2 linked regions of the Lepisosteus oculatus genome follow. The protein of the gene in region 1 purifies or fractionates together with the protein of each later gene. This does not show direct contact. Links are inferred from orthologs where the notes say so. Each region holds a gene or a part of one and is shown on either strand. Other genes may lie near its edges.

The links. The genes of interacting proteins can lie anywhere in the genome.
Region 2: the proteins of nek7 (region 1) and anks3 purify together in Homo sapiens (affinity purification with mass spectrometry; 3 studies listed by BioGRID and IntAct, with this or other methods). This does not show direct contact. The link is inferred for Lepisosteus oculatus from reciprocal best matches to the Homo sapiens genes NEK7 and ANKS3.

What each region holds. Positions count from the first base shown.
Region 1 is NC_090704.1:11,709,568-11,716,881, reverse strand, and holds the start of nek7 (serine/threonine-protein kinase Nek7), read left to right. Parts: upstream 1-4,272; 5' UTR 4,273-4,510; intron 4,511-7,314. UniProt on the Homo sapiens protein: Protein kinase which plays an important role in mitotic cell cycle progression. Required for microtubule nucleation activity of the centrosome, robust mitotic spindle formation and cytokinesis.
Region 2 is NC_090714.1:7,097,178-7,104,628, reverse strand, and holds the start of anks3 (ankyrin repeat and SAM domain-containing protein 3), read left to right. Parts: upstream 1-4,363; 5' UTR 4,364-4,522; intron 4,523-4,555; exon of another isoform or gene 4,556-4,625; intron 4,626-5,438; exon of another isoform or gene 5,439-5,503; intron 5,504-5,749; 5' UTR 5,750-5,753; coding exon 5,754-5,923; intron 5,924-6,102; exon of another isoform or gene 6,103-6,193; intron 6,194-7,393; coding exon 7,394-7,451. Other genes in the region: dynein axonemal assembly factor 8, read right to left, coding at 1-489, 1,020-1,127, 3,306-3,431. UniProt on the Homo sapiens protein: May be involved in vasopressin signaling in the kidney.

The sequences.
Region 1 (7,314 bases):
ATGAAATGCTGGAGAAACAACAATGTAAACATCATGGCAAACACCCACTTTGGTTTTGTTTTAAATCCCTAATGTTAATTCTGAATTTGTGAAAAAAAATCTATGAGGCCACAGACACAAAACTAAAGCGAAACATGACCAATTCTTCTTTGGCATGGCCTAATGAGGTAAATACGTGTTTGACAGAAGATGAGCCCAGCATGCACAAAACCACCACTGCTCGTTTACCTTTAAGCTCCTGGGTGGAATGGGATTTTTCAGTAAAGTACTAACAAGAAGAAATACATGCAGCTATCAGGGTGAAAGTATGCTGCTTTGTAATTGGGATTTTCATGACCAATTCTGCCAGAAGCTAAAAACAGCTGGTAAGAACTTACTTTATCTCTACGCTCAAGAAGATGAAGAAAGCCTTCGTTGCATTAAGTCAATAAAGATCCTTTCCCCAGGAAGCGCAGTGTCCTGGTTTAGAGTTTCTTTTTGAAGGGATGGCTTGTGCACTGCAGAGAGACAGACAGTAACTGCGAGACTTGGGCCTTTGATTTTAGGAATCACTTGAAATTTTGGGAAAACAGACAGAAACCTTACCGAAACAGGCAAAAGAATAAACGATTCGATTCCACTTAATGTTTTTCAGCCTCTACAATATCAGTGGGTATTGATAATTCAGTCTCTGATGTACCCTTGTTTTTTGAGTAAACCTTAAAAGCATTGTTTAAAACATCGTAACACGTTCTGTGTCTTTTAGGAAAAAACTCTTTAATAATATATCAAAACATACTCATAAACCACCACCAGGCTGCATCTCACAGTCCAGATTAAACATGCAAGAAGACCTTACAGTGCTGCAAGAAGTATCTACTTATACAGGAATGATCACTGAGGTAACATTTCACAATTCAACTGCACATCAGGCAATAAGTCCTTTGTTTGGTAGAACCTGGAAGATTAGTAAGAGAACAACTTGAAAAAAATGAAAAAATGGATTTGCAAATTGAAAATAAAACATTTTTTTTCTGTTGTTAAATAGCTCTGTCTAGCTCTGTCTTCATATATACAGTAAAGTTTCATTTGTACCTTGTGTATGTTAAAAACAACATCTATGTTTATAAGCTTATGTTTTCCTTTAACTAGACATTAACAAGGATAACAGAAGTTGAAATCTATCAAATAAATTATTGGACCATAATCGAATATGATATTAAAACCGTGAAAATATCTATAGTCCAATAAGTATTCCATCTAGAAATGAACATATCATTAACATATTATACTAATTTAATTTTCAACAAATAACAAAATGACATTTAAAGCCTTTTAAACAACAACTTAAGTCAACAACATCAACAGTCAGAATAATGTGTGCATCGATTTGAAGACAAAAAGGAATTATACTACTTGAAATCTTCAATTGTAATACCTACTTATTTTTCACACAGTCATTTCAATGAATGGACACAGCAAACTAAATAATGGACTATCAGAAAATATTAAAGTTTACTGTGATAAATGTTATTACTCTGAGATATTCGTTAACTCCTGATGAATAATTTAAGTTTTAAGTGAAAATACAAATGTACATTTCTTAATTATGAGTTCTCAAAGATGATAAAAATTATAACAATTATAACTCACTTAAAAGTGAAAATAGTCTAAAGCTATTCAACAAGATACAAAGATGTTAAATCACGGTCTAAGCAATCAAGACCACAAACAATAATATCAGTGAAAGAAGTTGTGCTCTTCACTTTTAATTGAACACATTTAACCCTTTGTCTGTCTGCTCAACCAAGCAGCTGAGACGTGTTCACCACAGGGTATCATTATTTTGTATGGGAAAATATGAATTCCTTATTTTCTCAACTTTGGCTCAGTGAAGTGTCAACTGAAGGAGTCTGACGTTTTTTTTTTCTGTCTAAATTCTATTTCCATGAGTGACAGTTAAAAGGTTCAGATTTTTTTAAAACTTAAATAAATGTCCAAGGAACACAGAGGGAACTCTAGGATGTGGGAGTAAGCAGCTCGCTCTATATTTAAAGCAATATTTTACTTTGCCCAGGAGAAACAGCCCCAACACATTGCACCCCACATCTTTCCTAGGTGCATGTCCACATACTGTAGTTGCCCATGGTGATGTTTCTGTGCTCACCCCCCAACATGAAGACAAAATGCAAGGAAAAAATAATTGTAATTGGTGTTTATTTATCAGTGACATTATATAATGTGTTGTTGTATGCCTTTTGAATTTAAGAAATTTAATTGGAGCTCTGGGGAAACTCATCAGGTGTATAACAGTCACAATGATCAATACACATTGGTCTTTCTGGAATTGTCTATATAGCCCAGGGTTTCTGAAGTTGATGTGCACTGTTGATGTGCTACAAAAAGCATTTTATGGTTTTCTTAATATACCTCAATTGAAAGGTCTGTATTTTAGTAATTTTTGTCTCACAAAACCACTCATTTACTTCTTCAATCATTGGAATTGGTATTTCTGCATGTACAAAACATACATGAACAAGAGAAGATTACACATTGAATGGAACTCATGACTGTGAACATTAAGGTGGTCATATACCATTCAAACCGTTGGTTTTAAATCATTGTATGAAAACTGTACAAATGAGGCCTGGCATGTGTCTGTTCTGTCTAGTTACAAATTACAAACCAAATACTCAGTACAGAGACTTCATCTACACACAAAACAGAATGCTTCTATCACATAGACTCTTTAGTTTCCAGTTTTTGCAGGCAGCTTGATTTTATTTAGGCCCAAGTTTTAGAAAAAAAATCTCCATAAACCTTTATATTATAGGCTAATATATGATCTCTAAATAAATCTATTTTTTTACAGTTTGATGACTTTTCATATACCCTTTTAATTACTCCCCTAGAAACCAGAAATTTGAAATTGTTAAGACGATCCTTATGTGTACTGTATATAACTGATCCTATTGAAAGAAGAGAGAAAATTGTAAACAATACAATACACACAATGTAGCCTCAGCTATAATCCCTATATATCGCTATCCACACACCAGATCTTCAGATCTTCCTAAAGCCAAACACTAAAGCTGAATGTCAATGGGAAGCATATATTTAACTTTTTAAATATTTTGCATTTGCCAGGTATAGACAAGATTAACAAAAAGAAAGAGATTTCTAATTCAATAGTGTAAATTGTGGGTGTGCAAAGAGTAAAAAAAACATTTGTCTTTGTAAAAATTCTTAGAAACAAACAAAATCTTAAAACATCTGCTTAATGTGTAATGAATATCCATTACATTTTGTTAGATTGGTATTCATGCATCTAATTAATATTTTAATCTACAGTTGGGATATTTTGCAGAAACATTACTCACATTTATGATAGAATGCTAACAGAGATGGAATTAACAAGTAAATTAATGTCACAATCACATTTAAGGACTTGTAGATGTTAATTCAAGTTAACTAGGGAGCAGCTGGTCTCAGTAGAACAAAGATTTCATTAGAACATACAATGGAAATGAAATTTAAATATGGCTTTTTGCCTCCTTCCATTATTTTCTAGTAGAACATAGTGCAGAACAAAGTTTCACTGGATACTAGGGTCACTAGATACATTTCACAATCCACGTAAATTTTAAAGTACTATAATGAAACATTGGTTATGTTGAGTAAAGCGCAAAGTACAGTATATATTACATATCTGACCACAAGTAAACAAACATATATTCTCCCTTCTAAAGTTTTCTTTCATGAAAAAAGAATATGATCACAAGAGATGGAAATATGGTTGTTACGCTATGTCGCTTTATGTTGATGCCAAATATGTTTTTTAAGAAAAGAGCTTATTCTGCTCCTTTATTCTTATTTATAATGGGAATAATAATTTATATTTAGTTACTTTCACTAAATGCCTATACAAGCGTTTCTATTCACACATACTTATGTAAGATTAATGAAAGTTTACAGGCTTTCGTGGACAAAGTGCTGTGTGATTGATTTCTTTTTAACTTAGTCAAACAGAAGAGTTTGCTCCAGGACACTCATTGCTCAGACATCAAAATGGAAGAAGTCTTTTGCCCATAACACTGCGGGTCAACAGATACCGGTAAAGTATGGAAAAAAATGGTATCGTTCTTAACAAACGCACCACACACAGATATGAATGGAAACACCAACCACTTGGTGCTGTCATACAAACTTTTTGAAAACTCGTCACTTTCCCAGCGTTGCGGAGTTTTTGTACAGGCTCAGTGGTGACTTGCGCCCCGCCCCTTTCCTCCGGGAATGCTGGGATGTTTACATTACTGGCACTGAGCAGGAATGGGGAGCAGCTGAGGCACAATCCCTCAACACAAATCACACTTTTCAACTAACTTTAGAAGTTCAGACGGTAAAATTTTAAATCCGAATGGTAGGCTGCCACGCAGAAGCGGCCCACGAACTCCACTGCAGACCTTGAAAAAAGTAATCGAAAAGGCAACCGCCATCAGAAGTCCCAGCAGTGAAAACACACCACTTCCTGGTAAGAAACCCCAAGAAACTGTGAATACGCTTCGCATGCTTGGCTTCAAAAATATTTTCTAAGTGGCCTTTCAGTTTTCTGTGGCGGAAGAAAGTTCATTTCGTGCTAAAACGTCGATGAAGTGAAATACTATCCTTCTTTTTTACTCTGGATCACGTTTTCTTAATATCTAAAAGTTCATTTTTAGTTCACTGTCATGGATTCCCCACTGTAACTAAGAGAAACGGACCTACAGCTACCGTGGTTGACTTACAGACTAAACTAACTTTATAAATGAAGTCCCACCATTCGGTCTGTTGGGCTTTCGCAACGTTTTAGAAGTGCGAATCTTTATCTAGCCACATGTACACTATTTTGCTCACACTGTGCTATTAACAACGATGGTATTTATAGGCCGTATAAATATAAGAGGTGGTGGATATTGTGGACAGCACAGTACGTTTGTCTGTGACTGTGAAAGCCAGTATTGACGCTCTATTAACAATATAGACACACATAGAAAAAAAAACAATATTTCAAGCCTTTAAGAGAGCAGTCTTGAACAGGTTTGACAATAGGGCCATCCCACCCTGATTTCAGGATGACTCATGCATATATCAGCCTAATTCCTTTTTTCTCCTATATTGATATAACTATAGCCTTATTACTTTTTTTTTCTCTCAACTGAACCAAGCAATAGGATAACAGCTGCGGACATCAGGTGGGTAGGGATTAGACGTACTACAATGTTTGAATTTATAAACTGTAGCTCTTGTACATGTATGAGAAAGCCACATGGAAGCAAGGGTTTTCCATCATTGCAAGAAAATAAATCTTGATTCTCCTGTGCTACATGAATAACATAAAATAAATAAAATAAAAAAGGAAATAGAATGTGCATAGTTAAAGCTGTGTGGGGCAGACATATGTCAGTCTTTCACCAATGGGAATGAAAACCATTTTGAGACAGTTCCTGCTATAAACATCTCTTGCACCAATGGGAGCAAAAATCATTTTGTGACTGTTCCTGCCATAAAGGTCTTTTCCACTGATGGGAACAAAAATCATTTTGTGACTGTTTCTGCTATGAAGATCTCTGGGGAAATGTGTAACATTGCACATCAGTGTAGCTTATAAAATTGACATAAACTAGTGATAGTGGCCTTATTGACAGAAGCTTGAGACAGACAGCGTGGAGTGCGAGCAGTTGTACATTCTCAGTGAATCAGGTCATGTGTGACCCAGTTAAACAGCAGATTGTAGGAGAACATTCCCCCTCCCCTTTCTTTCTGCCTTCTTCATACTTGGCCTTTGAACCTATGATTTAAAGCTTCACTGCCCGAGGTCATACACTGAAACGTGTGTTAGCACAAGACAGTTTTATGTTTTTAGGCATTTTCACTTGATCACGTCAGGTAATATCCATAAAACCTTGTGGGAATTCATGATGTCTTCAGGAGAGTTGCAGTTGCAGTGTGAAGCGATTGGAGAGCAAAACTTGCTACCGACAAGAAGAAGAGGCCTCTCAGCCCAAACAGCCCATTTGCTAGTTAGCAACTAATTGGATCATCCCCCAGCCCTTTCTTGATAGAAGCCAGGCTGTCGGCTTCAACAAATCTGATTCTCAGATTCCCAGCTGATTGGGTAGCTTGTTCCATACCCCCACAGTGCTTTGCGTAAAGAAGTGCCTCCTGTTCTCTTGTTTCAAATGCATTTCCATGTATGTTCCACTTGGAACCTTTAACACAAAGCAGAGGACACAAGTGGAAAACTACTAAAATGGTATTCAGAAATTTCAGCAATGGAACACTTAGGTTGTAAGTCAGCTGTTGTAACAATAATGTTTACAGTACTTTAAGAAATTATTCTTTACAGTATAGACCTTAGTAAAGGACCAATTTTATTAGCATTAGCCTGGGAGAGACCAAGACACACACTAATGGTCTGTCTAATGCTGACCACCTCTTTCACTTGCATGTTATTTTGTGTCAGTCTTAAAATCGACATACCGTACTTAGTGTTAAACCCCAGCTCTGAGGGTGTCTGGCCATCGCTGATCACCCTGCTCATCCTGTGCAGTGCTGTTACTAATGGTCCTCTCATGTTAGTTCCTAGCCATGATGAGCTATTTGCACCCAGTAGCCTGCATTTCAACCAGCAACCTGTTTAGGGTCTGTGCTGTCCCATGGGAAGCAGGGTGACCCACATTGTAGATCTCTCTGCAGCATTTTCTGAGACTAGGGTAGTCGAAAAGAGTAACGCAAAACAAGATGAAAATAGCTCAGCCTGTTGATACCCTTTATCGTGGATCTGTGCCTTTAAGAACAACATAAAGCAGATATAAATAGATAATACTTTATTTAACAAGATACTGTAAGTCAGTTGACTAAATTGTTTTTTTCTGTACATTGATGATCTGGTGAAGAGGCTTGCACTAAGGTTCTCCAGAGAATATTTAGAATTGAATATGTTTGCTTAAAAACCTATTTAAAATAAAGTTCCGGGCAAGAGAGATGTTTGCTTTTCATTGGTAGCAAAGGTTGTTAGGCGCAGACCACTTCAGCCATGGCTTGCAAAGTGGTCTGGTTGGAGGCCCCTGGACTGGGCTGGAAAAAGAATTTGTAACATTCTTTATTTTACAGAAATAAGTGGTTGACCAGTCAGATTTTATTCTCTGCTTTCTGACATTCTAGAGTTATTGCTCAATCTTGAGCAATGTTTTTTTGTGATTGTTACCTGGCATCTTCAGCCATTATTGTTTAAGCAGTTATGTATTTTTTTAAAACGTTCTGTGTGTTCAAGCAATTGTTCTTCTAAAATACTTT
Region 2 (7,451 bases), on another chromosome or scaffold:
AACATTTGTTTTCCTGGAAGGCATATCCTGCACAGGACCATCTCCACTGTTCTGCACTGAACAGTCTTCTCCAGCACTGTTCACAGAGAGGTTAATCTCAGAAGCTGGAAAGCTCGGTATTGTGGCACAATTCCCAGAAATCCTGGGCCTCCTGGCTTGGCTGGTGCCTAATGTCTCACCCTCCTGAGCTCCAACAGAGACACAGGCAAGTGAAGGGGATTCTGCAAGTCTTAGGAACGCAGCAGATGTGTCAGCATTGGTTTGATGGTTTGTCGCTGGCTCCTCTTCCCTTGCTACAGCTGGTCTTGCACTCAGGCTGGAGTTGATCTGCACTGACACTGCTGTTGCTGCCACATTGTGAGCTTCAAAGGTTCCTGGCACCAGGTCATCAGATATCTTGCAGACAAGTTCATCTTGGGTGCTCTGAGGGGATGGATTGTCCTTGGTCCAGCACTCCCTAACAGGCGTCCTAACAGATTCTAAGAGCTCCTAGTGCAGTGACAAAACACAATAAAGGCCTGTTATTTTAATGGCCACAAGAAAACAGGAACACATCCTTTGCCTCTGGCTCTCCTACCAATTAAATGATGTTTTACTTCAAATCCAACAGTCTTACAAGTATCGATGCAAGCAAGATGTTATTACCACAAATACCACAATCTTATTCCCTTAATAATAGAGATGATAAGAAAAGGTTCAAATCATTCCTGCAGCCTTTTTCTCTATGCATACCTCCCGTGTTATACTATGTGAATTTTAGAACTTTACATCTGAAGCTCCTATGATTCCAGCTGCTGGGCCTTTTATTACTAATAAAATACTCGTATTTTCTTCTAAAGCCAATATGGACAAAGGTGTTCGTCAGATAGAGATAAATCTACAGAGATAGCTAAATAGACAGCCGTACATAGGCGTTAAAAATAAATAAAGGTACATTTTAAAAGAGGTGCGAATCAAAATAATTTCCTTCATGGCCTTCCTAAAATGAAGACGTTCTAATGATGGGTCATTCAAATTACCTCGACCTCCGCATCCCCCAGTGACAAACTGTCAGGATTCTCTGGCTGTCCAGGGAGGAGAGTGGCTGGTGTTCGGCGAAATATCGGCACGTCCTCCTCACAGTCTGACTGCAGCAAGATGAACAAGACCCAGAGGATTCGGTTTCAGAAGCTGGGTTTCTCGGAGCCGGTACCACACCAGCCCCAAGTACTACCACGCAGCCACCACGACCCGCTTTCCTAAAAACCAACCCGGTGAAGCCGATTCTCAGTTCATCACCCAACAGTCTCGGAGTGTTTTGAAGGAGCCATAATCAACACTTTTAGATTCATAATAATAATTGCTTACACTTATATAGCGCTTTTTCTGGACACTCCACTCAAAGCGCTTTACAGGTAATGGGGACTCCCCTCCACCACCACCAATGTGCAGCCCCACCTGGATGATGCGACGGCAGCCATAGTGCGCCAGAACGCTCACCACACATCAGCTATCAGTGGGGAGGAGAGCAGAGTAATGAAGCCAATTCACAGAGGGGGATTGTTAGGAGGCCATGATTGATAAAGGCCGATGGGGAAATTTGGCCAGGATGCCGGGGTTACACCCCTACTCTTTTCGAGAAACACCCTGGGATTTTTAATGACCACAGAGAGTCAGGACCTCGGTTTAACGTCTCATCCGAAGGACGGCGCCTGTTTACAGTATAGTGTCCCCGTCACTACACTGGGGCATTAGGACCCACATGAGCCACAAGGTGAGCGCCCCCTGCTGGCCCCACTAACGCCTCTTCCAGCAGCAACCTTAGTTTTTCCCAGGAGGTCTCCCTTCCAGGTACTGACCAGGCTCACACCTGCTTAGCTTCAGTGGGCTGCTAGCTGGGAGTTTCAGGGTGATATGGCTGCTGGTCATATTTGAACAACTAATGGTTTCTTCCACACTGAAATATAGAAAAGAGAAGCAACATTCCAGCTGTTGCATCTTCTCCACACTTGAAAACAAAAAGGCGAAAGATTTTAATTGTTGGGCCTTCTTCAAGTGTAAAGAAACCCCAACAACCAAGAGGTTCCGTTTCACCTTACTGTCAGATTAACCTTGATCTGTTCCTTTTGCAGCAGAAGCCTGTCTGCGCAAATCCCTACTCAAACTTTTAATTTGGGTACCTTTTTAGGTTTTGCCTTGTAAGCGAGAGACGGTCACAAGAACGTGTTTGCTGGAATCAGGCGTGATGCATTGAGTGGCAGATCTGAAGAGACAGATCCCCTAATGGAAAGGGCAGGGTGAACAAAATATTTTTCTCGAATTATACTTAAGGCTCTTTGTTTTCGATGTTGTAGTATTTGTTGTTGTTTTTTTATTGAAAAACAGTTCTTAAAATAAACACCATAAACAAATCACAAACAACCAAAATACACATTATCAATAATAACAACCGAAGTCATGTCAACCATGGTTACCTTTTCCTTTTAACCCTAATTAATGGTCAAAGAATCTTCAATAGACTCTGGTTTAGTTAAATTTCTTAATTGGCTTCTAGGTTTAGGGTGTTGTTTTATTAACCGGATTTATTGTAGGCCTTATACTTACGATTACACGCTCGAGTTGAAAAATTTGTGTGGGAGTCTCTTTCAAAGCCAGTGAAAGGACGTGGAGGGCTAATTCGACAAACAGCAGGATTGAAGGGCAAGTGAAATTTATTTAATTAGCGTCCCTAGCAAACTGCTTGAATGCTTGAGGCAAACAGCAGCTGAGGCGTTAAATAGGACGCTGCTCAATTTTACAGACTTTTAACGTTTTCATCTAAGATGCAGCTCGGCGAAAGGTAAAGTTAAAAGGGTGTCATGTGAAGATAAAAAAAAAACACCGAAAACGGGGATCCCTTTTATGTCATTCATTTTAAACGCACAATCAGAAGTAATGCTGCAATTGGAGACGTGCAGTTAACCGAAAACTGTGCCAGATCCAATCCGCTGTCTGAGAGTGCATTAATTGTACAAATCGTGAAACATTTCATTACTGATGAACCAAGGGCAATCTCTTAAGACCTCTGGTCGAAAACCGTATGCTTGGTCACAAGACTACATTTTACTGTAACTCTTGAACAGAGAGTTACCCACAGTAACTTCGTGTATTAGGTATACATTATACAATACTGCAGTGGTAAACCACTACAGGGGACAGCTACCTTCGGGTTTATACTGACCCATTGCTGAAAATAGAGAATACCGATACACAATACCCTTTACCAACTCCAAAGGGTCCTACTGAATAATAGCGTCTCACAACTTATCTACAAAACTGTTCATAACCGTAAATCGTGCTGCCCATGGTCTTACTCCGGAGGAGGTATCGGAGTCGAGGGAGGGGATGAAGTCCTTCACGCTGGCAAATATCGAGTCCCAGTCCGGCCGGGCACCGGGGCGCTCCGAGCTCATCTTCAGCAGCTGCCGAAGGAAATCAGTAAATCCTAAAACACTGATCACCACATTAACAACTGCTGCACACTACCCCCCCCCCAAAAAAAAGTTAAAGAAAAGGGTGCTAACCACGAACGTCATCCCCAAAACAAGTGCATACATTTTAACCGACAGCACGAAGTGCCCAGTGAGCAGCTCGAATGACGCAAATGCAGGCAGTTGAAACAATTTTAAAAAGGGTGCGAGATGTGTACCTTAGTTCTTCAACACGTTAAAAACAGACGCAATATCATGAGCTGTGTTTCGCCCAAGTGTCCGATAGCATTTCCGATGTTTTAACACGCAGAAAGTCTTCAACAGAAAACTTACAGCCGCAGTCACTTCTTGCAATTAACACACGCAGCTGCGCAGCTTCTCGGTTACCAAGGCAACACAAGGTGCGCCACTGCGCTTCCCAATCCAGGAAATGTATAGAAACCCAGTTTCTAGAGATAATGTATTACTCCTTCACTATAAAGATGCTAAATACCTATTGCTGGCTAAGCAGGCCAATGTCTTTCATTTAAGGAATGTCAATTTATTTTACTCCTTTCCTTTAAGACTCTTTATTAAACACCCTCAAACTAATTTACAGTTGTAGACACTGCAAGGTCCTTCAAGCAAAAAAAACTATCTTTCGTAGTTATTTTTCTAAATAAAAATCCTAGGTTATTATTATTATTTGTTTTTTATTATTGCTTTAAAAAAATCCAGAACTACATTGCGTATAAAAGACCTTGTGTCCGTTAATTTCAAGATATTACAGCAGGCTCTTGATGTCACAAAAAAAATACTTTGGATTGGATATGACGCAGGGTCATCGAGGGGGCCTCACGGGAAATGTAGTTTATTGCAGATTAGTTCCTCCCTGTAGTTCTTCAAAGTGAGAAAAGGGAATGACTACAGATCCCAGCTTTTAAGGAAAGCAATTTCCTGGAGCGAAGGTGCAAATATACGAGTGACTTTGTAACTTGGGTTTGTTTATTGAGGTGGCGAGTGGTTGATCGGCAAGCCCTGAAACGTCCATTACGTGGAGATCAGACAAAGACCACAGCAAGTTGAGTGATAAGGTATTTAATCTTTTTTTTTTTCTCGAGGCTACACGGAAGCATTTTCACGGATCAAATGCACTTGTGATGAAGTGTTTGACGGACAGCAAGAGGGTAGAGTTCGGTACATGGAATTAATCGATGAAACTTAGCCACTTGCTTCGAGACTCGACTTAGTTCGGGGTCCATTATTTCTTTTCCGATAACCAATCCAGGGTCGCGGGAACTCCGATCCCAGCCCGACACACAATGGGCAGGATTAGTACTGGACGGGATGCCTTTCCATCGTAGGGCACGCATACATAGTCTCTCTCGTACACATAGGCGGAAAATTTAGAGATCCCAGTTTACATACTGTAGACAGCTAATCTTAAGACTGCGAGAGGAAACCAGAATACGCGGAGAAAGTCCACACGAACAAGGGAGAGATCATGCTAGCTCCACACAGACGGCATTTAAGACCAGATTCAAACTCGGGACGTAACCATTGCGAAACAACCGCTATACACAGGCGCTGCATTCAACTTAAAATAGCTAGGGGACTAGACGGTCGCACAAAAATTGTATGTTTTTCTTAACCGAAATGTTAATTAGATGTTCACAAACAAAGCTGATGATTGAATTTGTGTGAAATCGCACCACAGATACACTGATAGCACAAAATAGCAGCAAGAAAAAACTTCAATCTAAATATTACGACCAGATAACCGAAGCTTCTTGCCAGTATTTTATTTGTAGCATCGGAATTGCTACAAATTGATATGAATTACTTCATATCATGTTACTTTTTGTCTGGCTTAGTGCGAATTAAGAGAGTGAAAAACTGTACGTTTTCCAATTGACTGGACCCCACTTAGCACACTGACTCTTCAACACTCTGTGACATTGTGGTCCACATGGAAGAGTGCCACCTTAGTGGTCCACCAACACCTCTTACCTCAGCATCCTGATTCTTCCTGGGTGCCTCCCATCCCTGTACTTACTAACCAGGTCCAGGCTTGCTTCAGAAAACAGACAGGTTCAGGCTGCTTTCTAACAAAAATCAGCAGAAAAGGAAAAGCAAAAATCAGCCAAACTCAGTGGCCAATATGGTGGTATACCAAGTGTCTTCTAGATGGTAATTGTGCTGGTTAATGAACACAGCCCGTGGGTGGACTAGGTGGGGGTTCTAGGGGGTACTGGGGGTAACGGCGAGGGAGAGCACCTGGTGAGGTGCAGCCTGACTGACGGGCCGATTTCCCCCATCAGGAGGATGTCGGAGCTGAGTGACGAGGCCAGCGAGACGGAGCAGCTGGGGGCCAGCCTGTCCGTGTGGCTGGGGGCGGCGCCGCTCGTGCACCCCGAAGAGCTGGACGTGTCGCTGGACCTGCACACGGCATGCTCCATCGGCCAGTACGACGTGGTGGCCGAGTCCATCAGCAGGTGGGAGTCGGGCCGGGGGGTTGCTGAAGCTTGCCCCAGAGGGGGTAGGACATCGGAGGATCTTTTGTTTTTTATGCTATTCTGCTATTCTGTCCCAGCCAGCAGACATCCACAGAAGAGCGCGTTTTAACCTGCCTTTGTAAAACTCGGAATCGAGGTCATTCAGTCAGACCAGTAGGGGTGAATTCCGCATTGATATGCACAGGCGTGAGGGAGAGAGACAACAGGTGCAGGAATATTCAGCACCAGAGGGGACAAAAGAAAGACCAGGTGAGAATGAGCCCTTCTGAATGAAGTGAAATCCGGAGGACGAGGTCTAGGAGAAGGGTGAAAAGCTCAAATCTGGAAATGAATGGAGAGGATGTAGAAAGGAAATTGGCTGATTATTGAGACTTGAAACTCCTGCGTTCTTCGTTTTTTTCAAGTGGTTTGTGATGGATGATGTGCTCCTAGTGTAAGGATAATCTTGGTTCCGGATGTCTTTCTGGAAGTACGAGTCCTGGAAATCCCTGCAAAAAGACACAAGGCAGGGTAGGATGTGCTCTCTCTCTCTCTGTCTGCCGGGAGAAGCAGAGACGGAGATGCGCTTTCTGCTCTCCAGAAAGAAATACAGTAGGATTAGACATCCTTCCGTTTCTACACCTGCTCGAATCAGAGCTGTCAATCCTACTGGGGAAGAGGGGGATAAAATAGACTTGAGCTGCAGTACATGATCGTCTGAGAAAAGGAGAGTGAGTCTCTGAAATAATAATAACAGTTCTGTAGTAAATGTCTTGCTAGGTCCTGCTTTGATAGCACTGTAATTCCTCAATCATACTGAGTTTGAAAGGTCAGTGTGAATTGAAGCAGGGAGCGGTAAATTGAATTGATAACAGTTCCTAACTCTTCCGTGGTCCCTCTTACCCCTCTCTGAGCTTTGTTTCCCTGTACTCTGTGTCTGCTGACGAATCTCCCCAACTGATTCTTTATTTCCGTTCACTTCACTTGCTTAAAACCTCGTAGATTAACGGGAAGCTCTGAGAATGAGCTCTGTTCAGCAGATTTCCTCTGCCGTTTTAAAACGCCTCCCCTGCATCTGGGACTGGCATCCCACGTAAGACACACTTCTTAAGATTTTAAGGATCGATGCCTCAGTGCTAATACTAATGCACAGAGAAGGATCGGCTGTGGAAAGGAACTTGCACAGAGCCTCTTGTGGTTAGAACTGCTGCCCCCTGGTGGTAAACACAGCTGGGGTGCCTTTTTGTGTGAAGTTTGTATGTTTTCTGCTTGTGCTCTTGTTTCCTTCCATCTTCCATTGACCTTATAGCTGTGGGTCCAAGTCTGGCGTCATCCTAAATTGCCTGTCTGTTAGGAGTAGAATGCAGTTCAGAACTGGTAGCGATGAGTTTCAAAGTCCGTCTGCGAGAGCGCAGGGAAACCCTTTCCATCTCGACTGGCCGACTGATCGTTTTTTTCTTCGCCGCTCAGGCGGGAGGTGGACCTGAACGGGAAGAATCGGGGCGGCTGGACGCCCCTGATGTACGCC